3 linked regions of the Oryzias latipes genome follow. Each later gene encodes a partner of the first gene's protein in a complex. Links are inferred from orthologs where the notes say so. Each region holds a gene or a part of one and is shown on either strand. Other genes may lie near its edges.

Region 1 (8,100 bases):
TCAACTCACATTGATTCGTATGAATAATTTTGCCTTATTGCAATGTGTGTTCTATCAAATGAGAAACAACAGAAGTGGTGGCTACAAGCAAAGCCTCTCTTCCCCACATATTTTCCCTAATCTTGTGGCAGCTGAGCATGTTGGTGTTGCAAGTGACTTATTGTCCCATTGTGTGCATTTCTGTAACATTTTGCTTCTGAAATCATAGGAAGTCAGACCTGTTATTCTGTTTGTGTCACTTTTAGTATTTAACAATTGTGAACATACTTTAGGTCTATGAGATTGTTAAATAAAAAACCCAATCAGGCAAACTGTAATGTTCTATGAATTCTTCTAGGTTTAGGATTGGGTGTTCACTACTACTTTACAGTTATGCAAAGATGTATTTCTCTTAGAGGTAAGGTAGAAAGAGAGGTTGTGCTGTGTATATACCTACTACATTATGCAAAGCATCTCTGTTGAACCCTTTTTGAATTCTATATTGCAAAGTTCAAATACTTTATTTAAAAAAAAAGTAAAACCTTGCAACAATACTGAGCCTATTGGCCCTCAGTTGCACAAATGCTGTCAAGTAAAATTTTTTTAAAGACTTCAGGAAAAAAAGGTTCTAGACCGAATCTTTTTGAAATAATCTAAAATCATAGTTTTTCACATTTGCTCTTGGCAAGCATAGCTGCCCTTGATTGAAAAAAACCATTTTAAATCCACCTTCATCTATTCAATTTAATTTTATTCATATGGCAAAATTTGAAATACAAGATCTAACGACACGACATGGTGAGACGACGTAGCTAACGACACTAGCAACGGTTGCTAAGGAGCCGTAGTGAGACGACAGGGAGGAACGACACTGTCAAAGACAAATGCAAAGGTTTAAACATAACCCATGAACAAATGTTCAGTAGACAGAGACAATGGACCAAAGACATAGACAGTGGTCACAAAAACATATATTTGGCACAAACAGAACCTCATATACTATAACATGTTTGGTATTTCTAGGAAAATGTATTTTTTACCATCTCTCTGTTTTGACAAAAGATCCTTTATAGTGTTATAACAGAATTTTTTTTTGTCTCTGGTTCATCTCTTAGACTTCTCTAGAAAGTGGATCCGTCCTTGTATTATTTCGGTTTCTCTTCATTTAAGGAATCCTAAAACGACGCCCTTTCCTTTCAAACATAGTGAAGTTATCAAACACATTGGGAAACACTGATAAGGTTGGGTTGGCATAATGTAAATTCTCATTAACCATTTGCACTGTAGTGGTTCATTTTGGTCTCAATGGACTATCTTTCAGAGATTCTGCTTCCTATTTATTACATCCTAATGGATATCTTAGCCTCCATGCTTCTAATTTGTCAGTATAGGACTCAATGTGTAACCACAAGGCTCTTTAGAACAGAAGATTGTCTTGCTCCATTTAGATCGAGAACTGAAAGATTTCCTGGATCCTGGATGAAGTGGTGACTCAAACATCAAACTTCTATGTTTTATCAAAAACATGTGTCCATGGCAATTGCTTAGAATGATTCCTTAGAATTTGATAGTCTATGTTTATGCTGTAATTGGTTTTTATCTAATAGGTACCATCTGCAGACTACAAGTTTTGATTTTCTGTTCACTTTTGATACGCGCAACCTGATTCTGCTAACGATTTTTCCAACTTTAAAGAAGTCAGTATTAAATATTGTAAAAAAAATAAAATTATAAATATTTGGCTAAATCAGTGATGTGACATTGTCCATTCCTGGTAGGTTCCATTCCATACATGTTAGTGTTTCTCCGCTCGATTTAATTTTGTATTACTGCTCAATTTCAGTCTCACTGATACATCCAGTTGGAGCAGTTTGATTTATTTCAGAGCTAGATTGGTTGGTTTACTGTAAAGTAAAATAGTTAAGATTTAGACTGACTCCTATTTTACCTCTTCAAATTCTCCTCAGATCTTATCTCAGAGTTTCCATTTGTAGCAACAATATCTTGCACTCTTAAATGTTGAGTAAATATGACCTTGTTTACTTCTGCGTCATGGAACATGAGATCCGGCAAAGCTCCTTCATTGTATTAATATATTACATCATGATACAGTTGTGTAGATTGACAAATATGTGTGTGGTGTTAGTCATACATCTTATCTTATGGCTGACCTATCACCATCACTCTCCTCTATCAGTTCTGGGGAGTGACTCATCTGCAGTCATGTGGTTCACTGGTCATGTGAGACATTGTTCCACCATGAAAGTGAGCAGGAAAAAAAGTGTCTGCTCGTGAGTCATGTCATTATCCTAGCTTTGCTTCTTAATATTAAACATTACCACCGCTCTGTATTGGAAAGCAGAGTAATTATCGGAAATAGACCAGCCTAGCTAACAATAAGCTTCCATTAATAAACTGGACTGTCAACAGCCATGGAAAAGAAATCAGAGCAGCAACTGGCTGTTACATGCGGAGTCATATAACCAGTGTCGTGTGACGGTAATGTCACAGTTATTATAGTTTTTATTTTAAAAGAAATATCCTTTAGCTCAGTGTTTAGCAGTTTGTTGGATCCCTGCTCAAAACAAGTAATTTAGCATTCTAGTTTATCACTTTGGAAGTCTCAGCATTAATGCTGTTGTGCAGCTTTAAATCTGTCTTACAATCCAAATGATCTATTTCTTCAACTTGAGCTTCAGTTTGATTCAGAATTATGTTGAAAGTCTTTCATTTTGATTTCCTGTAATTTCCTGTAATTCAATAGTAGAAGGTAAAAATATTTGTTGGAGGAAGGAGCAGCGAAACATTAGATGAACTGCAGTCACAGGAAGTGCAGTCCTGAGTGAGTGAGCCAAAGCAGATGTAACAGTTCACTAGACATTCAGCGTAAGTCTGCCTTCTTCAAGCTGGTTTTTCTTTCTTTTTAAAAGAGTAAACAAGATTGAATAAGATCGAGAGGGCAGACTTTCGATAATGGCATAATTACTTGTGTTTTACTGTAACTTTGTTTTCTGTTAGGGGGTCTGCTCTGGTTTTAAAATTGTTCATTTGGGTCAAGTATCCAAACAGAACCACTGGCCCCTTCTGACTTAAAGCTGAGATGAGCCTGGAGAGGAATGTAGGTTGTCACCAGAGCTATTTTGGCAATGTCCAGTCGCTAATGATTGTGATCACAGCGGAGTGCGCAGCAGTTGCTTTACTTGCTTCTTTTTCCTACCAGCAAGTGTGATCATGCTGCTCTTACAGGCGCTGCAGGGATTAGGGAGTTAAACAAATGGCGCGTCGGCTCCGCTTGCATTTCGCGTCAAGGAGAAGCAACACGGACCCCCTGTCACAAAGCCCGAGCAGCCACGATGAGGAGAGCGGAGTTGGTGCGTCTGTACGTAGTCCCACACAGAGTCTGGCGCACAGTTCTGTCCACTTGAAGGTGACTCCTCTGTCACCAGACTTTGCCAACAGTCAATACTCTTCAGTTTTCATACCGAGAGTTAACACTGGAGGGTGTAATACGAAGAGCGTTCTACAAATCTCACTGCAGCCCTGTGGACAGCTCAGTGGAGAGCAGGATGGCAGCATAGAGGATGGAGACCCTGGGGTTAATGAAGGCGGCGGAGGGTCGTGCCACAGCAGCATGGCAAGTGATGCTGGTTACTGCAGCAGCAACAGCATCTTTGAACCGGAGCCTCCAGAAAAGCACAAGACCAACCACGAGAGAACTCGACTCTCCTGGAGAACCAGAGTCCCACTGCGGAGGTGCTCGTCTTTGGTTATATTTCCAAAAAGCCCCTGCAGCACTCCACCTGCCTCCCCAGTGAGTTCAGGAGCTTTGCCACCTCTCCTGCCAGCAAGAGGATCTAGTCATTCAACTCCTCAGTCATCTACCAATACATTTTCACAAGACGACGAGGAAGTAAGTTACAAAGGGTCCACCACAGCTGCAGTCAGTTGCCAAAGTCAGCCAAGAGGAAACTGTTCAGCAGCTGAGGACTCGAAACACACGGTGCACTTTAATCTGCCTGTACAGGATAAACAGCAGTCCAAAGCTGAGAGCAGGAATGCAGGGGCAGAAGTTTCATCAGCTCCAGACAGGTCTAATCGTCACTCAAGTAGTTTGCTGCTGCATTTTACCCCCCACAGTCCACAGGGCTCGACAAAGGCAGCTCTCAGTAAGGATGCAAATGTGGAATATCCAGAGGCTCATCACCCTACTAATCGTGCTGAGCATGTACATGATGGGAAAAAAAAACTGTATCGCAGTACCTCTGCTTGTTTGTTTCCTTCTACAAAACCATCGCCCAAAAGGAAGCCTTGTTTAACGGGGAATGGCCAAGACTGGTCTGAGGATGGTCGCTGTCACCGTGCCGTGCAAAGGAGTTTTTCCCTCGAGGTGCCGTACCCTAACACCGAAATTTCATGTCACGTTTCAAAACCGAAGCTCAGCAGCTCTTATTCTCCCCATGTGCATATTCATTTGTCGCCCTGTTGCCCCACAAAGTTGCCCAACTCTACCAATGATGTAAACACAAGCCATAAATGGAATAATGAAACAAAGAGTTCAGGTCAGAGCACCAAGGTGAGTGCTATATTTAACGCTAACACCGACTAACAGCTGAATGCCTGAACTGGGATGTTGTGAAAACTAACATCTGTCAGAATTTTTTTTTAATGTAGATTATTGCCATATAGTTTTTCTGTGACATAAGTTCTGCTGAAAAAGTTGCTAAATAAGTCTAGCTTACAAAGATGTAATCTTACCCATCAGGATACTATTTAAAACGGGGTAATTGGTGCAAAATGCAAATGACAGGGTTTTATAAAATATGTAAATAACAAATAATTTAGAATTTTTGCTACCAGAAAAAAAATAGTTTCAATAAAATTTAAAGAACAATGCTACATATTAAGTACACATTTGTTTTTTCTAACTCTCCTTTTCATTTACTACCACTAAAGTGTTGCTTACAAGGGTTAGCCTTCAGGCTTTGTTCAAGACGTGCTGTAACTCCATAAGATCTTGAATACAAAGTCACGCAAAGAACAAGTACAGTGTGGACAAACACTTAGAGATATTGATTTACATTATATTTAATCCTTCCAAATGTGGATTTCCAAATAATGTGTGAATTGCAAAGACATGGTTCTTTACCATCTTGGGGGCATAACAATCCAATGTTGGGCAAACTCAACAGTTCCCTACTTTTATGATTCGGTTAGCACTATGAAGGATCAACTTAAGTATATCCCAAGGCTAATTTTAGTGGTGGGAAAAGTGCTGCCCCTTGCTGACTTAAATAAAGGGGCTCTGAAATATTCCCCCTGACTCCAGATAGTCTGGTGGACTGAAGCACTGCTTGGTCCTGTGGATTCAAATTTAACAGCATGATACTAGAGCAGCACACAGTCATGCCAGCCATCTGTGGACATGGCATGTGTGTGCGTGTTTCCCAGTACGTGTGCTGCCTGCACTGTTGTTCGTCTTCCAAGCAATGTTTGTTAAGTATTATGTGTCGGTCTCCCCACACTTTTGGCAGGTTGTAAGAAACTAAGGATTTCTGTCACATTTAGATGGTCTTTTCATTTTTAAAGATTTTAATGTTGCGCCCTCCTTTTAAATCATACTTTGTTCTAAATGCAGCAAGGACTACTAAAAGGTACTTGTAATGGTTATTCAGTCAAGTCTCACATCACACATGTGCAGTTAAAAACCTTTTTTTTTTACTCCTGTTCCACTTGCACTTCACCACCAAAGACATTTACTGCGTTATGTGTAAACTTGTCTCATACTGTAATAATGCTTGTATGTTGTTCCTAAATTTCATGCTTTTCCCCTCAAAATTTGTTAAATTTGTTGAAGTTTAAATACTTCCTCAGCTCATTTGCTGTGTTACTGCTCTATATTTATCAGAATGTTACTGTCACACATGTACTGTATAAAAATACATAAACTGGACACAAATATAGCCGCTTGCTTTGGTTTTTCAAGTTATTCTTTCATTAGTGGTGTCATGCCAGTCCAAAATGTCCAAATTACAGAATAACTAGGACTGCACTTGATCCGCACTTGATGAAGTGTGAGCCAGATGTTTCATGTGTGCTTTATTTGCAAGTATGATTGGTTTTTCATTTTATAATGCTTAAAGTACTAGGGTTTTACCTCACTGATAACTCTGCTGGTATTTAAATAAATGTACCGGTATACGAACCCAACAGAAAAAAGAGAACTATGGATTAAGTTTAGGGTGTTGTTAAATTGTGATGTTGGCTCTTTTGTTATGTTGTTTAGAATGTATGTCTAATGGTATAAATACCTGAAAAGACCATTCCATAAATTTTTTTTTCCACACACCCCTTATGACAAAAGAATCTTTGTAGCGACTTCAAAACCAAACAGTCGCTGAGAGGCGGACGCTGGGTCCGGGTATTGAATGACGGGCTCAGAAAACCAGAAAGCATAACGAAGTTTGTATTTTGAAGTTTTAATAATAAAAAAATGAAAGTAATTAAATCCACTTATTATATTATGATCAAGAAAGAAAAAAACAGAGAATCAAGAAAAAAGCACTAAAGCGTATGAAGCGATTAAAAAAAAATAATACGGCAACCCAGCTCACCCCCCCCCCCTTCCATCTTACACAGGGAAAAACCACAGGTGAGTTAAAGTTAATGTCACCACCCACAAACATGTGACCCACCAGCTGATTATCCTACTCAATGACCTATAATAAAAACAAATCTATATTTATTCAGCATAAGAAAGACCACACTTAATTCTTGGCACCTACAATCTTTGTGTTCATCTCTTAAAGACACCTTAACTTTGAAGTGTGGAAAATGTGACTTTCTTTTTGTGTCTCAATAAATATGTTGTGTTGATACTGTAAATTTTCCATGAGGAAAGCAAATGAATCATATTAGCCTTTAGACACCGTGTGGATAGATATGATGTTAACTGCAAATGGTTTCCATTTCAGGAAATGAGTTTGCTTTTTTGAACTTTTTCCATTTTGCTTTGGGTTCCTGGGTTCAAGATGAAGTGGGGATACTTTGCCCAAATGTTAAAGAAACACGATCAACACACTCCCCCATTTCCTTTACTATTAAACATTTTCAAACAGAAAATGTTCATTTGGATGGGCCTTGGGAAAGAAAGCATGACAAGCTGATGCTGCTGGATTCTTCAAGGGAGACTTCTTTCCTTTCTCTCTCTTATTTGTGTAGTTCCCTCTGGATGTGTTTGCACAGGTTTTTACCTGGGATTTGCAGAATACGTAGCATATTTTCTCTTCCATTGTCACTATATATTTAAATTTATAATTGGTATCATACTGACGGATAAAAGCTGTTTTGGAATATATAATAAGCACATTTTGGGAGGTAAAGCCATCGTGGCTCATTAAACTTTTGTATGTGATGATAAAGCTTGTATGACTTTTTTCTGCTTCCTTTTGATTTTTTCATGGGGGGGGGGGGCAGTGGCTCAGGTGGTTGAGCAGGTTGGCCAATGATCAATGGGACGGTGGTTCGATCCCTGCCTCCCCCAGTCAACTGTCGTTGGGTCCAGACGCCTCAATTTTTTCAAATACATTTCTCTGAAAATGTTAAACTACCAACATTACTAAGATAATATATTCTATATAATAGGATGGATCTCTTGACCATCATTGAAATCAAAGAATTAAGACTAAAGAAAAGTGCTGCCCCTTGCTGACTTAAATGAAGGGGCTCTGAAATATTCCCCCTGACTCCAGATAGTCTGGAGTAAGACTAAAGTAGTGCAGCTTTTCGAAAATGGTTCCTAATTTGGTATTCGCTGGTTGTCTGTAACTCAGATTACTCCCTTAAGTTTGTTTGGCTCAGTTTAGAAATTATTATCTTTGCTGCTTCACCTTTCAAGTCTTGTGCTATACTATAAATAAGAATAGGACAAATGGACTAACTATTATTTTGTTTTGTTTTTTTCTTCCTTTTTACAACAGTAATCACATATTCCATACAGTAATCAGTGAGCCAACCAAATCACATTAACTTTGCCAGTAAAGTTAAACTAGCTGCTTTCCCCGCTAATTGATTTTTTTTTTTACCAGCCACCTACAGGTCCAGCTGTCTAAAAGAGTTTGTCAT
Region 2 (8,027 bases), on another chromosome or scaffold:
TGAGTCTCTGTTCCATGCCACTTCTTCTGAGATAAAAATAAATCTGACATGTTGAAACTATTATTCGAATAGTCTTCACATAGTGCTTTGTTGTTGTTTTTTTTAAGAAGTGAATAAGCTATTAAATACTGTGTGAGCACAAAGACATTTGGAGATAAATTCTTCAAGGGTGTTTTAGACTACATTTGCCAAGTAGAGCTGGAAATCTCCTCACCCAAAGCTTGTGTTTTCTACCAGAGGTCTTGAGGGTCCTGCACAGAATATATGCTGTTCCTGCACTTTTCTGGACTGCACGTCTACGGTTCTCCCAGTGATGTGCTGTAGCCACTCCTTGCATCGTCAATGTTGGCGCAACCAGACCATCCATTATAAACAACCTCTGAAATGACCAGAGCCACAAATTTGATTGACACTGCATTCGTAGCTCACATCTATTACTATAATAGTTTTGTTTGCCTAACCCATTTAAGCCTTAAAGTAAAGATGTTTGTAACTTTACCAAAACCTTATTCTGACTGATAAAGTGCTGCCCATTTGCAAACGGTGAGGGAAAAAAGTATTGGAACACCCTGTGATTTTGCAAGTTCTCCCACTTAGAAAATCATGGAGAGGTCTGACATTTTCATATTATGCGCATGTCTAAGGTGAGAGAAACATAATCTGAAATAAAAAAGGTGAAAATAGCATTGCATGTTTTGTTTTTTTATTTGTATGCTACTGCTAAATAGAACTATTTGAATGTGATTTCCAGGTTTTTTGTTTTTAGACTTTGTCTCTCACGGTGGACATGCACCTGGTATGAAAATGTCAAACCCCCTTCCTGATTTTTAAGTGGAAGAACTTGCAGACTCACCGGGTTTTGCCTCCCTATTTAAATGTTAGAGCAGGCATGTCCAAAGTGCGGTCCGTGGGCCAAATGAGGCATGCGTTCAAATATCAAACTGCTCACAGACTCCTGTCATAAAATCAATAATACACAGCACCTTCTAAGAACTGTGTGTACAATTTCTTGATTGTGATAGGCCAAATGACGCTATAGGCTGTTGTAAACCTGTGGCAACAACCTGGGGTTACTTACTTATCTTTAGAGCCTTAAGGCCGTTGTTTGTTTCTTTTCTCAACATAAGATAACTATTTGTTATTTTCCTGTTTACACAATTTGAATATAGAAGTTTACAGTCAGTGAGCATTTAATTATAAATATGAAACATTTCCTATGAACCCAGATTTTATGGTGACGAAAGGCTTTTTTTCCAGATAAAATTTTCCTTTATTTTGATATGTATTTACACCATTTTTTTGTTCAATTTAAAGAAATGAAAAGTCTCCTATTGCACAAAAACAACAACAACAAAAAAACATTAGTATTATTATTAAATCATTATATTGTATTTCTTTTGCTAACCACATTTTTTGGGGCTGACTCATGAATGATGGACACTGTGATGTCATCTACCAGCAGAAGGTACACAGACAGGTTTCCTACACTGGGAACTTTCTTTTGCATCTCATCCATCAAGCTGAACAAAGACTGTGTGATAATGAATGTCTGATGAAGGGTAATCCACACAGTATGTGTTTGTTTTATGCCACGGTGCCAGACTTAAAATGAATGCCTTGTTGTGTAGAGGCACCTCGGCTATGATGTGCACTTGCATATGTGTGACTCAGGGGCTATAAGTGTGTGGACACAGTAGGAGCCTCCATGTCCTAATCCAAGCACACACAAGCGACTCAGGATTGATGATTTTATGCACTTCAGTGTCCCATGGTGCTTTCCCATCAAAAAACCTGAAATATTACACGCTGGATAGCCAGGAGCTGAACTCTGGGTCAACCCTGTTCTCCCCGTGGCCAAAGACATAAATTAATCAGAAGGTACTCTTGGGTTTACTACAAGTCATTCTATTTGTGTTTAAATCTCTATACGCTTCAACAAAGGAGTTAGATAACATGCCCCTCTGATGTTCCTCTCAGTCTAGTAATAAACACTGTAATATCTTATGCAATAGGAAAACACTCAGAGGGATGAAAACATAACAGTTCGGAGATGGAACTCTGGCGCAATGAGTTTTGACCCCAGGTTGTGCAACTTTGTACCTCCCTGTGAATTCAGCTTTACTGCAGATTGTGCCTGTCAGAACAGGGTCTTCTTATAAGGGAAGTTGTGTTTGCTACCTAAGGCAACTCTGTCACAACACAAAACGAATGTGTCTTCAATGGAGACTCCTGGAAGTCCTTGTGTTTGGGAACTGTTGGTGACACGTATGTGAAATACAACAAATGATCAAGTCAGTCTGAGCTTTGTGAAAGACCCACTCGGATGATCTTTTGATTTATTTTAAATGTGATCCCAGTTGTCTTTTAATTATGATTGTTCTGTTTTTAGCCAAAAAAAAAAAAAAAAGTTGTTGTTTTTTGGACCTAGTTTCCGCAGAGCAGAAGTAGTTGTTTTGAAATTCACCTCTGAGTTGTGGATGGATTATTGGCATGGAAGAAGCCCGCCCCTATTTCCCGACATCCATCTGTTAACACGCGCTCCCACTAGCTTACTGCCCCTCACATCCCCAACCTAACAGTACAAATCCAACCACAACATCAAAATGTCAAGCATTTTGGAGACAAATACCAGCTCAAATGAGGAAAACAAAGGCGTACATGGATCTATTTGTCTGCCAGTGGATGCACCAGAACAGAGCGCAGCAGGGAACTACAATCTTTTTTCCAACCGCATTTTTTATTCCCCTGCTACTGATTCACAAGGATTTGAATAAAAAAATACTCAGAAATGCAACTTTAAGCCTAATTGTTTAAAAATATGTCCTCAAAAAAATGAGTAGAACACATTAAAAACACAATTTTTATAGGTTTGAGTCGCTAAGGAAAAGGTCATAATACCTGCCGTTATAAATAATGTATTTAGGCATCTGGCTCCAAAGCAAGTCAGAACTAAATGATGATCAATATGTTTTGGCCTTACAACTGTTCTGATTTTAAAGTTAAAACATTTCCATACCTTGACATCATTTTTTAAATCATTAAAAACCTCTTTTATCCTCTCAAGAAAATGTATACCTATTATTTTATCAGCTGTAGGGACTATTTTTCTTTCTTTCTTTTTCTTTTTTTTGGTTTATGGGTTTTGAAACAAATCATAAGAAGACAGATATTAAAAAGGTTCAGCAATCCTGTCAAGGAACAAAGATAAAGTTTGACTAATGAATTAAATGTTTCAAGCAGTCTGGGAGGAGCACAATCTGAATTACATATTATGTAATGTTTCCCCAACTATTAGGTAATTACATCTTTTTCAAAAATCAGTTTTGATGAGCAAAACTTAAAGAAAACAAATACAAATTGGTACTTAGACTGCAAAGAGAAGCCATGTAGTGGATTATTTTTATCATTAAACATAAGAAATATACAAAAAACGTGTAAATTAAGAAGCATTACAGCTTAGGTCACAACTTAATACACTTTAGATAGTGAAAAAAAAAAATTGAAGTTAAGGCTTTCTGAAAATAAGTTAAATGAAAATAGAAAGCATTAAAAAGTGAAAACTATCTGCCAACAAGTGTGATTTTGCACAATCCAACGATAATTTGTTTATCTGGCTCTTTAAAAAGAAAAAAGAGAAAGAAGAGGGAGAACCAGAGTAACCCTTTGGACCCGCCCTTTTTCTCACATCATGAGACAGTGGTGGGCGTGGCCTTTTTCAGAAAGGGGAGGGGTTGTTTGAGCGCGTTCAGGTTTGTCTGCGTGTACGTGCGTGTCCTCCTCCCTTGGCCGCATGACATGAGCTGCCCTACAGTCTTTGCTGCCACTGTTTTTGCCTCCTCCTCCTCCTCCTCCTCTCTTCTTCCTCCTCCTCCTCCTCTTCTTCCTCCTCTTGCCTCAGTCAGTCTGTCCAGCCTGGGAATGTTGACCGACGTGGCCTGATCCAGCGCCGGCCAGTGTCCTTCGTCTTCGGACAGTCAGTGTTTTTTGTCCGCCTGCCTGCCCCGAACGGCTCCGTTTCTAAACTAAAGGTGAGGCGCGTGTTGATTTTTTGCTTTACTGCTCCTCATGCATGTGATAGAATTCTCTCCATTCCTTCAGCATGTGTGTGTGTTTTGGTTGAGGATGGTTAGTCAGTGCGGTAAAAGTTCCCTGCGCCGCTGGGATGACACATGCTTGTTTCGGAACACATGTGCGCACTGTGCGTAAAACCGCGCAGTCAGACCTGCCTCCATCTCCAAAAGCGACAACTTTGAAAACAAGTTATTAACAAGGAGTCGATGCAATCGAGCTTTTTATTTTATTTTATTTTATTTTTTTTGCCCTCCATGTTTTCTTTCCAACGTGGACTTCTGCTTGCTTCCAAACTGGATTCTCGAGGCATGACCGTAAACTGCAGCGCATGTCATGCGTTTTTTCCACGCCTTTCTGAGGGAGCTGTGCTGCTCCGGTCGCCCTCTGGGGACGGTATTTTGATCCCACACTTGTTTCAACCCGGCTACTATTTTAACCCCCCTCCCTCCTCCTCCTCTGGTTTCAACACCAGCTCGGTTGTGTGGGAGTTCCAGTCTGGCCTTATCGCTTTATCCTAAGATTGGAGGAGGAGGATGATGATGATGAGGAGGAGGAGGAGGAGGAGGAGGCGTTTTCCCTGAGATACTCACGTAGACCTGCAGTGTGGTAAAGCTCCCACTCAGAGGATGTCTAGGAAAATTCCTGCAGTCGATACTGGGAAGGTAAAAACAAATAAAGAAGAAACTGTAAAGCAGTTTCTAGGTCCCTTAAGGGAGTTACAGAGGCTGTTTTGGAGGACTCCCCAAACCTTACTTGCCGAACATGAAAGTTTCTATATCCTTATTCATTTTCAGGAAGCTATGATCTGCTTATAGTTCTGTTTTGCCTGTAATCTACTTCACTTCGTCTCAGCCCTGCAGTAGACATGATCAAAGTGCATGACATTTCTGCAAAGCTAAAAAAAAAGAAGTTGCAGATGAAGTCGGTGACAACAGATCTCTACAAACCACGTCTTTCATGATAATCCTAATTTATTGACACAGTCTTGCAAAAAAATTAGCTTAAAGCTCCACTCCAACCATCTATTGATCTTTTGTTAAAAGCGTTCCCAGTGGTCATTTACTTATGATTATGCCGTTTACATCCAATATATTAAAAAAAACTTGTGTTTTTTTTCTTGGATTTAGTTTCTGCAGACTGACAGGAATTCATTAGAAATTCACCTCGAACTTGTGGGCGGTACTATTGGTACGGCGTAAGCCCGACCCTACTTCCCATCATCCATCTGTTTGCACTCTCTCTCTTGCTAGCTTGCAGCCTCTCAAACTGCCTAGATCAGTGTTTTTCAACCAGTGTGCCGCGGCACGTACACTAGTGTGCCCGTGGGAGAGGGTCAGATGTGCCGTGGGAAATTGCCCTCATTAACTGATCTAAAAACATTTACCATCTCCAGGATATCAGTTCTGTGTTCATCCAAACAGGCCCTGATAAAACACTGAGGAGTTAGGAATATGAAAGATCGTAAAATACTTGATTCTATTAAAGACATTTTGATAAGAATGACAGTACCGAGATTTAGCCGCAGCTTCAGCTGTTTTCGGAGAAGTCCCGCCCCTTTAACTGTCTCCACCAATCATTCTTGGAGTCTTAATCACACGTCATCAGTCTGACCAATCAGAAGTGGTTAAAGTCTTCACTTCCTTGTTCTGATTTAGCTCATAAAGTCTCTCAGTTCCAACAAAAATACCAGCTAAAGCTCGTCTTTAGCGGTGTAGCTTGCCACAAAACCCAGAGTCAGACCGTGGAACGAGTGAACAAAACAATGAAGCTCAGAGACGCTAGTCTTTCTGCGTTTGGCGTCTGTTTGCACTACATCTCCCATGATGCATTGGGTTAAAGTGACAGCATCTCAGCGCACAATGAGTCTTTCCTTTTTAAACGTCTTGAAACCACATTGAACACACATCAGACAGTTTTTAAATCTTTTAACTTAACTTTTATTACATATTTTAGAAAACACAGCTGGAACTTCCAGCTTTTTCTGCCACAATTATCACAAAAATGCATGTGAGATTGCAGAGGAGCTGTAGATCAATACAGACTATGAGTTTCTCCTTTTTTTTTGTAATTTTTGGATGCTGGCGTGCTGCGGGATTTTTGTCAAGGTTAAAGTTTGGCGTAGCTCAAAAAAGGTTGAAAAACACTGGTTGTAGCAAACATTAGCGGTGCAACAAAAATAGCGAGCATTATTGGAGCTATCTGATATTGGAGCAGGGAGATCTTTTTGAAACCGCATTTTTTTTCGTCTGATTCACAACGATTTGAATAACGCAAAAAATCAGAAATGCAATTTTTAACTAAATTTTCTTTATCTACGTCCTCCATCATCAGAAAAATGCCACAAGAACATGTTAGAAACGCTAAAAACCCATTTGTAATTGGAGTGGGTCTTTCACGCTCAGCAGTAGACTGGAGAATGCTGCATAAACATTTATGGTTCCTGGTAGTATTGATGCAGTCAGGTTGACTGTAAATCAATGTTCTTACTTGGAATTTGCGAGATTTGAAAGAGGGTTTGAAGCAGCCTTAATTTGAATTTGTGAGAAAAATTCCAAATAGGCTCTTGTTAGTTTGAAATTTCAATAAAAAACAATTGACATCTTCTTGCAGAGTTCTCTCTCAGAGATGTAGGCATTAAAAACAGATGAATGTACTTGCAGTGGCTTTATAGGGACATTTGTTTATTGTTGCCTTTAATACATGCAGCACACTTTTTCAAATGTAGTTTTGATTTGATTGGGATTAGGTCTGCACAACAAATTCATTGTTGCAATATTGGGCCGTGCGATTTGCATGACGCAACAGACAGCACAAACTGCAGTAAATGATTACCTTAAATATTTACGCACATGCAATACACTCTCATGGGAGCTTAAAGTATCAAGGAGAGCCCTTTACGCATTTGACCAAGCGGATGGAGCCCTTTTTTTGTTAGATGCCCCCCTCCTATAAATTAATAGATGTGAGACATTTAAAGTTGACCTTATATTCAAATCTTGCTGTGAAATGAAAATGTTGTTTTAGTTGTTTATTCATTTGTTTTGCTATTTGTTCATATCGTCGATCACCAAAATTGAACATCGCACGTTTTCCTCACGTCCTGCAGCCCTAATTGTGATTATTTAATGTGAATGCAAGTTTTGAAGAGCAAACGCTTGTTTTTCTGGGACTACTAGTGTGTTGTTGTGTCCCTTTGGTCATGGTGGATCATTGTCCACAACATACTTGGCACTGCTGTTAGATTAACCAAACAATACCCCGAATTGACACTCTGTGGTTGCGTATTGAGTTTGTCATAGGACCGTCAGTTGGTTTACATTGCCTCCCCCCTCCCTCTGGCTCCTGGAGGAGTGGTTTGTCCTGCCAAATCTGTGCAGAGTAGTTCCTTCCGCTCTGTTCGTTCGTCAGAACCTAAGCAATCAGACCCCATGCCCGCTCCTTCCTCACTACCTCCCTTTAAAATGCATGTATTGTGTCATTGTGTTTCCGGGGGAACGGACTGGAGATAGAACTCCTGCGTAAAGCTGGCGTTGCGTTGCAGAGTGTTGGACCTGAGACGCAGACGTGACGGAGAGGATGTAAACATTCCAATTCATTTAAAAAAGTTTCTATATTTTTTGCATCGTTGCAATGCAACAGAGACACACCACAGTTTGACCAGAGTATATCAGCCTCTATTATTAGTCGTGACATCGTTGTGTAGTCACATCTAGTGCCATAATTTCAGTTTGCAACCAACTCTTGTTGGTTTGCAATGTTGCCCCATTCACCCATCCCCCACACCATACATTGAATTTACATGCACACTTTGGCCAAATTTGGTGGATTTTGTGGACTTATTCTTAATAGTTAAATACAAGTTTAAGCATAAGTGAAAACACATTAATGATGTTTTCCTTTAAAGGTGATTTTAAAAAAAAATTCCTCCCACTATTTATTTGTATTTTGGTCACACC
Region 3 (8,171 bases), on another chromosome or scaffold:
TCTGCGGGTGGGCTATACGTTGGGTTACCAGGACCAACTCCCCACGTTCTGTCAGGCATGGATGACACAGGAGAGGACTCAAGCAGCAAGGAGAAGAAGAGCTGATGATTGTTGTGGATCAAGCGCAGACAGTAGACAGCTCCAATTTTGCTAACCCTTTTTGTTGCACTGCTACTGTTAAGTTAGGGGTGGGAGGGGCTGTAAGCTAGAGGGAGAGCATGTAAACAGAGAGCTCTCAGTAATTGGGAGGGGAATTTGGGCCAGGTTTACTCTGCGCCCATAACTCAGAGAAAAATTTCTGATGAACTCCTGCCGCTGCAGAAACTATGTTTTAGAAAATGATAAGTTTTTCTATTTTGGCTAAAAACAGCATGATCATCATTAAAGACCACTGGGAACGCTTTTACAATAGGAACACTGACTGAATGTCAATTTCACTGCTGTCTATCAAAGGCTTTTGCAAATAAAGAAAATGAGAAAATCAAGTCTCTGTGATGTAAGTTGAAAGCTAAAAACTTTAAATCTAAGTATGCTTTTTTAAAACATTCTAGTCAAATTATTTGATTTCAAAATATAAATAATTAGAAAACCTTTTTTTTGTTTTTCATTTATTGACAAATTTCAATTATTGACAAAAAACAAATGATTTTATTTTAACAAAAAGTTGGTCAATGTGTTAAATCAAATAAAACAGGTTATATTAAAAAGAAATTTGATACATTCACATAATTATATTGGGGGTTTGCATGGACCAATACAATACAATTAACATAATGTGTAGGAGCCCTATTGAGAAAAATGTCCTGTGGGTGTCGCTGTTTTCATGTTTTGCTGTCAATTATAAATTGGTTGATGATCTGACCACACACAGGTGTACATGAGCCAGATGGAGAAATGGTTTTTGACCGCTTGTGCGGGAAATGAAGCAAAAGAGTAGTCCAATCCGTTCAGTAGTGTAAATTAATAAAAGAAACAAAGTAATGCAAAGTTGATCGGAGTAAAAGACTCATTTCTTTTCGTCGTATAAGGAAACGACAGCCCGCTTGGCGTCAATCAACTCTGGCGTCGCACATCTCAGTGTATCAAAGGAGCTAGAACTTAGTTAAATAGTTTCTAGGCCTTTAGCTCCTACATAATGCATTAATGAACTTAGGTGAAGGCACAAAATATGATAAAACACACTTTGACCCAATTCACCTCGACTATAAAGAAATAAAGATCAGAACTTCTGACCACAACAGGAAATCTTTCTGAAAGCAAATATGTGCCAAAACTTAAACACGTGTTTTGGCACATATCTGCCTCAGTAAAAGAAGCGCATTTTGGGTACGAATGAATTTAGCAAAAAAATGTCATTAGTTAACTCTTTTTAGCATTTGTTCAAATTCTCTTCTCCAATATTTATCTGCTTTTGAGGTTCTAGATTATAAATGGAGTCGAGAACAGAGATTACATTTTGTCTTTTACTGCCTTGTCCTGAAGCTGACAACCTGGTCTTCAGAGAAAAATCTTACTCTAAACACAAGGAAAACCATGGAGATCATCCTCGACTTCAGGAAGCATGGCGCTTACCCAGCCCCCCTCCATATCAATGTGGAGAGGGTCCACACCTTCAGGTTCGTCTGGATCATTATCTCTGTTGACCTCTCCTGGACAGCCAACATCACAGCAATCATCAAAAAGGCTCAGCAGTGTCTACACTTCCTGACCTTCTACCACTCATCCATCAAGAGCCTCCTCACATACTGCATAACATTACGGCAGCTGCCATTGCAGACAAGGAGAGGCTGCAGAGAGTCGTAGAGACAGCTCAGAAGACAAATGGGACACCTTCTCCCTGACTGACATCTACTCCACACGCTGCCTCAGCAGGGCTCAAAACATCATCAAGGAAACACCCTGGCTCAGACTTGTTCAACCTGTTGCCCTCTGGGAGGCGCTACAGAGGCATCCAATTTAAAATAAACAGACTCAAAAATAGCTTCTTTCCCAAGGCAAAAACCATACTCAAATCCAAAACACCCAGATAAAATTTGCCACAGCACTTGCCAGTGTATATGTCTATGTATGTGTATATGTACATGTGCTTATTTAGGTGAACTGGTCAACACTTCCCCCCCCTCCATGCTGTTTTAGCACATCTGACATGTTTATATCTGTACATATCACTCTGCACATTATTATAAAGAAAATAATAATTAAATTACAATGTAATTATATTAAATATATAAATATACATATAGTTATATTACATTGTTTATACTGACATGTTTTATATTATACTTTGTTAGATTTGCTTTTGCACTAAAATGGAGACTACTCCAGTTTCATTGTCCAGGTGGACAGTGACAAGAAAAGCTTTCTATTCTATTCTATTGGTGGATAAACTTTAACAATTGATTGTTTTTAATCACTTCCACCACTAGGTGGCGCTATTGACTGCTACTCAGTTAACTGTGATTTCTCAGAGGGACCATTCAGTGTTGGTAAATGTCACCACACCGATCACATGATCAGGAACCTTTTATCAGACAGTTCTGTTCTCCAGGACCTGCAAGGTTTATCTGGAAGACCTTTTGCTGCTCATTTTAGTAGTTTCTTTAGTTTTTTTTTTTTTAAAGAAAAACAATGAAACCATATAAAAATGAAATAGATCATGATTAAGGAAATTAAAATCAGTTCCAATAGTTCAAGATTAGGTAGATAGATAGATAGATAGATAGATAGATAGATAGATAGATAGATAGATAGATAGATAGATAGATAGATAGATAGATAGATAGATAGATAGATAGATAGATAGATAGATAGATAGATAGATAGATAGATAGATAGATAGATAGATAGATAGATAGATAGATAGAGGGAGAGAGAGATTACATATTTTTCAAGTTCTTTAATTGTTAGCAATTTGTTAGCAACCTCCCTTTTTAAATTAATGGGAAAAAGTTATATTTATTTTAAATATCTTCATAAATCTCCTGATTTGATTCATTCTCAAAAAGAGTTAAATAAATAATGCTTTCTTTTGGTTTAGATCTAGTCAATGAGCCCAAATGTAGGAATTATTTCTTTCTATCAACTTCTGCAATAGTGACTTTCTGTTAAACAATGAGGAAACTGAGATGATTATAGCCCACAGTTTAATAGTTTATATTATTAGTTATTCTTTATAATGGATGGCACAACATTTTTTTACCCACATATTTGCTACAGTATATCACAACTCCAGTTATGTTGGCCTAAGTTTTTAAATGTTAAAAATAACAGGATCAGTGTGGTTTTGGACCTGTCAGCTTTGTCTTCCTGCATTTTTTTCTTCTTACAAATAGTTTAAATCTAAAGTTTATACGTTCGATCACTGCAGAAATTATATTAATGTTTAAATAATACTGGAAAAAAGAGAAAAATAAAAAAAACGTAACTGTGTTTTGATTTGGTCCCTGAAAAGACTAACTCCGGCCCTGGCCCTTCCAACCTTCTAGGTGAGCGGCTGCGCGTACAACCCCGCGCGCGCGCGCGCACTCTCGCGCCTCCCCCCACAGGCTCTTGACGTGGATGTGGTCACGTGACTGGACCTCCTCTTATAGAGTAACTTTGACAGTTTGGTTCAGTTCGGCTGCGGGGCCGGTGCGCGAGTCCAACCCCTCCCCACAGGACTGAGACACGGCGGACACGGTCTCTCCGAACGTCCAGGTGAGTTCTACTACAGTCCTGACCAGAACCAGGCAACTCTTCTTTCTTTCTTAATGCAACATCTTCACCAGTCTTCTTGTTGAGGACCAGATAGATGGAGGACACTTTCTCCTCTCAGTGTGCGCTCAGGTGAGCGGTTCTGGACGGGTTTCTCCGTGGTTCCCTCTGAAGTGGATGTGGGTTGTGTGGTGGAGAGGAGCCTTGGGCTCCTCCAGAGGACCTTGTCAAAGCTCTGTAGCGCTTTGTGCTGCTTTCTCTGAACTCATTCATGCAGAAAGTGGCGGGACATTGTGTCTCCTAACAGTCAGCAACTGTTCTTCTCCTCCCGGACTCCTCAGGAGTTGGACCCTGCAGAGCTTCCAGATAAGTGAGAGCACATGCAGAGAATTGAACCAGCCTGCAGCTTCCTGCTCATCCACAAAGGTCTTTCTTGTGAGGCCCACTCTGAGAATCTTTTTATGTGTCACATGCACCAGCATTTAATGTCCTGTTGGGTTGTTTTTTTTGACCTGATGTTTCCATGAGGTCAGTAAAGTCTGCAGATCCTCTTTTTTCATGATTTACAGCTGGGGTTTTACATGATGCACCTCCAGTGCTTCTGTCTGACAGTCAGAGTATCTGAAAGCCTTTCAAGGACCTGTTGTTGTATCAGTCACATGAAAAAACAACATTCTGCCTCCTGTTTCTGCATCTGTATTGCAGCAGGATTTCTCCTGGGCTCTTGATGCCCCGACTGAACCCCGTCACAGCACAGAGGCTCGGGCGGCGCTCAACCAAGCCTCCTTGTGTTAGCTGTCGGCATCTTTTTTGGTCTTTCTGTCTTTCCTCTGGGGCCACATTCTGGCTCTTGACGCTTACATTCTTTTCCAGTTTTTTTTTTATTAAGGTAATTTTGTAACAGAAGTGGTTTGATGCATATTTGCACCCAAATGCGCAAAGGGATTAATGCACATTAAGCGCCAAAACTTTTACAGGATGAAGACCTGAAGACCTTTAGGGACCCAGTCAGCTGGAACCAACCAGAACCTTCAGTGTTAGAGTTATTTTTTGATTTGTGGCTCCACCATTGAAAGTTCTGATCAGTTTTAAAACCCAACTGTCTGAATTTATAAGTTTTGTCGCCTTCATTTCTGCTAAAAGTGTCTAATAGAAAACAAGATGATGAGAGTAGTTCCACAGCGCTTTGATTCAGCAGAATCTGAATGTGTTTTCCATTTTAATTCCTTTTTTCCAAGCCAGTCTGGATTTAAAGTGAAGCTCTTAAGGAAAAGAACAAAAACGTGCTCTTTGTCCCCTGCTCCACTAATTGGATTAGCTTGTTGCGTCATTAAGCATTTCGTTTGGTCCCCTTAAGTTCTCCTTAATTACATAATCCTTCAAAAAAACAAACAAAAAACTAAAGTTCTTTCAATTGAATTAATTGTTTCCATCAAACATATTAATGTTTCTCAAAAAAGAAAACCTAATTTTAGAGGATCTCCACATCCGATTTATGATTGTAAATTAGCAAAACCCAACTAAAATTAAGAAAACGGATTATAATGCAACACTATTTTATGCAAAAACTAGAAGTTGGAACAAACTGAGAGAACAGTGAGTGGAAAAGTGAATTGAAGCCACAAATTTTCCGTCCAAAGTAATAACTCTCAGTTATGTTTCCTGTAAGATCTTATCACTCTCCTTTGCTTTTATCCAACGTCTGGCTGCAACTCAGCCAACACTGAAAGTTTGTTTGACTTCACGACATTGTCAGTTCAACTTCTCTCTTTTCTTCTTCCACCAGCTAACACTCCCCAACGATGGGTGATTGGAGTGCTCTGGGTCGTCTGCTGGACAAAGTCCAGGCCTATTCTACTGCGGGTGGGAAGGTCTGGCTGTCCGTGCTCTTCATCTTTAGGATCCTGGTTCTGGGTACCGCAGTGGAGTCGGCCTGGGGTGACGAGCAGTCGGCTTTTAAGTGTAACACCCAGCAGCCTGGTTGTGAAAACGTCTGCTACGACAAATCGTTCCCCATCTCCCATGTTCGCTTCTGGGTGCTGCAGATCATCTTTGTATCAACGCCCACGCTGCTCTACCTGGCTCACGTTTTCTATCTGCACAGGAAGGAACAGAAACTCAACAGAAAGGAGGAGGAGCTTAAAGCCGTTCAGAATGATGGGGGTGATGTTGACATCCCGCTTAGGCAAATTGAGTTAAAAAAAATGAAGTACGGCATTGAGGAGCACGGAAAAGTGAAGATGAAGGGAGGCCTCCTCAGAACTTACATTGTGAGCATCTTCTTCAAGTCTCTGTTTGAGGTGGGCTTCCTGTTGATCCAGTGGTACATCTACGGCTTCAGTCTGAACGCCGTCTACACTTGCGAGAGGGACCCGTGTCCTCACAGGGTGGACTGTTTCCTGTCGCGGCCCACAGAGAAGACCGTCTTCATCATCTTCATGCTGGTGGTCTCTCTGGTCTCTCTGATGCTCAACGTCATCGAGCTTTTCTACGTCTTATTCAAGAGGATCAAAGACCGCGTAAAGGGAAAGCAGCAGCAGCAGCAGGCCGGGCTTTTCCCCGGGGGAGGAGGAACTTTGAGCCCCACCCCCAAAGAGCTGTCCACCACAAAGTACGCTTACTACAACGGCTGTTCATCCCCAACCGCCCCCATCTCACCCATGTCCCCTCCAGGCTACAAGCTCGCCACAGGGGAGCGTGGAACCGGCTCCTGCCGGAATTACAATAAGCAAGCCAATGAGCAGAACTGGGCCAACTACTCTACGGAGCAGAACCGGCTGGGTCAAACTGGTGCGGGAAGTACCATTTCAAACTCCCACGCACAAGCCTTTGACTTTCCTGATGACACCCATGAGCACAAGAAACTCACATCATCAGCGGGACACGAACTGCAGCCCCTGGCGCTGATGGACCCCAGGCCGTGCAGCCGGGCTAGCAGCAGGATGAGCAGCAGAGCCCGACCCGATGACCTGGATGTCTAACGGGCCCTGGCGACCTTACCGTTCTGCCTGGCCGACAGGATGTGAGGCTGCAGGCGGACAATCAGGCAACACTTGATCAGAAAGGGTCATGAAGAAGGTGGGACTAACCTCAATCACTGTCCTCACGATAGAGACTGTGTGTCAGTCAGAGACATTAAAGCTTCAGTGTAACACTTTCAAAAGGTACAACTCGCAACTATTTTGTCTGTACTGTAACTTTGTAGTTCCATTAGTCCAGCTTTAAAAAACACAGCAGCCATAGGGCTGGTTCAGAACACGGAAAGCCGGTTCATCCTTTACCCATAAGTTTTCAAAATCTTTAGACCACCGCCGTGGAGCTACAGCCGGCGAGGGGCAACAGAGAAGGAACAACAAACAAGGTGGAGGGCATACAAGAGGCAGGGCCATCTGCTCGGATTTAGGAACCTGAGCAGAGCCGCCTCCTATTGACACACGTCTCTTTGGTATTTGTAGCCTGCACTATTTAGTGAAAACACTGTACTTGGTGGGCGGTGCATCAGACAGCTTTTGTTAACCAGAGAAACACATTGATAAGTCTTGTAGAGTAGGACCCCCCTCTGTCACAGAATTGATTTTAAAACTCAGCCCTGATGGAGTTGGTCCTCAAATGCTCTGAGATCTTTGAAACCAGCCTCGTTCAACACTCTAGGTTTTGGTTTGTCAGGGTTTGTTCGTATTCTGGCCCCCTTGATGACTTTGCTGCCTTCTTAACCTTTAACTCCAAACTAACCTGCCGACTAACGGGGGTTTATCTAGTTCTTAGTAAAGCTTATAGTGTTTATTGTTTGAACATGCAGTAGACCCACAAACAAGCCCTGAACAACCAGGACCTGTGGTGATATTCCAGGGTTGTACGTCCAGATAATGGATTCTGATCCTTTACTGGTTCTACCGTTGCTACAGACAGAAGTCACCATTTAGTCCTCTCTAGGACCTGATTGTAAACAACTTTTTGAAACGTTCTGAGCAGCGGTTTCCCTAACCAACCATGACCTTCAGGGAGGCACAAACCTTTGGTTGCAGTAGAAAACTGCAGTTTCAATGAACAGGTGCCAAATATAGTTGGGATACAGGACTGTAGTCCATGCGATACCCCTCTTGAGTTCTAACTGAGAATTTTGTCAAAAAAACTGGAGTCGTGGTTTGGTGAAGTTTTTCTATGCTCTTCGTTGAGTACTTGTCTTAAACAGGTCTTCATCTCATGTGGAAGATCAGGATTATTGCCCTGAATCTGCCATATAAAAAAAACAATCGTCTTCCACCCAACCCCCTTTCGTATTAATTGAACACCAAACCAAACCGTTTGCCTTACAATCGCAGCCGACTATACAGTGGATTCCTGAGAGACTTTGAATCTGTGTGATGACGTGCTTTTGTTTCACGACTTTCTTGTTCCGTGCGTCACCGTCACCTAGCGCTCGGATCAAGCTCGGATTGAGCTCGTCTCTTGAGGCGAACAGGAACTCTGAATGTTGA

What was found.
Region 2: the proteins of nedd4 (region 1) and grb10 are in contact, whole or in part, in a crystal structure (PDB 3M7F), measured with the Mus musculus proteins. The link is inferred for Oryzias latipes from reciprocal best matches to the Homo sapiens genes NEDD4 and GRB10. Residues at the interface, in NP_035020.2 of Mus musculus: Glu71, Leu72, Val79, Arg104, Ser112, Ile114, Leu115, Thr116, Ser117, Val118, Gln119, Glu134, Ile135, Leu136, Phe137, Arg138, Leu242, Pro243, His244, Pro245, Pro246; in NP_001357532.1 of Mus musculus: Ile514, Arg516, Gln518, His519, Phe521, His522, Gly523, Arg524, Asp548, Gln579, Phe581, Gly587, Asn588, Thr589, Lys590, Phe591, Ser592, Ile595, Gln596, Asp599, Phe600, Leu603, Asn604, Ile617, Arg618, Val619, Ala620.
Region 3: the proteins of nedd4 (region 1) and gap junction alpha-1 protein are in contact, whole or in part, in an NMR structure (PDB 2N8T), measured with the Rattus norvegicus proteins. The link is inferred for Oryzias latipes from reciprocal best matches to the Homo sapiens genes NEDD4 and GJA1. Residues at the interface, in NP_037118.1 of Rattus norvegicus: Asp416, Asp417, Tyr422, Val424, Asp425, His426, Ser428, Lys429, Thr430, Thr431, Thr432, Trp433; in NP_036699.1 of Rattus norvegicus: Pro277, Leu278, Ser279, Pro280, Met281, Ser282, Pro283, Pro284, Gly285, Tyr286.

Annotation. Positions count from the first base shown.
Region 1 is NC_019861.2:21,565,681-21,573,780, forward strand, and holds the start of nedd4 (E3 ubiquitin-protein ligase NEDD4), read left to right. Parts: upstream 1-2,671; 5' UTR 2,672-3,253; coding exon 3,254-4,552; intron 4,553-8,100. UniProt on the Homo sapiens protein: E3 ubiquitin-protein ligase which accepts ubiquitin from an E2 ubiquitin-conjugating enzyme in the form of a thioester and then directly transfers the ubiquitin to targeted substrates. Specifically ubiquitinates 'Lys-63' in target proteins.
Region 2 is NC_019874.2:13,042,872-13,050,898, forward strand, and holds the start of grb10 (growth factor receptor-bound protein 10), read left to right. Parts: upstream 1-3,558; 5' UTR 3,559-4,028; intron 4,029-8,027.
Region 3 is NC_019882.2:10,599,135-10,607,305, forward strand, and holds the start of gap junction alpha-1 protein, read left to right. Parts: upstream 1-3,573; 5' UTR 3,574-3,696; intron 3,697-5,479; 5' UTR 5,480-5,495; coding exon 5,496-6,674; 3' UTR 6,675-8,171. Other genes in the region: gap junction Cx32.2 protein, read left to right, coding at 1-105. UniProt on the Homo sapiens protein: Gap junction protein that acts as a regulator of bladder capacity. A gap junction consists of a cluster of closely packed pairs of transmembrane channels, the connexons, through which materials of low MW diffuse from one cell to a neighboring cell.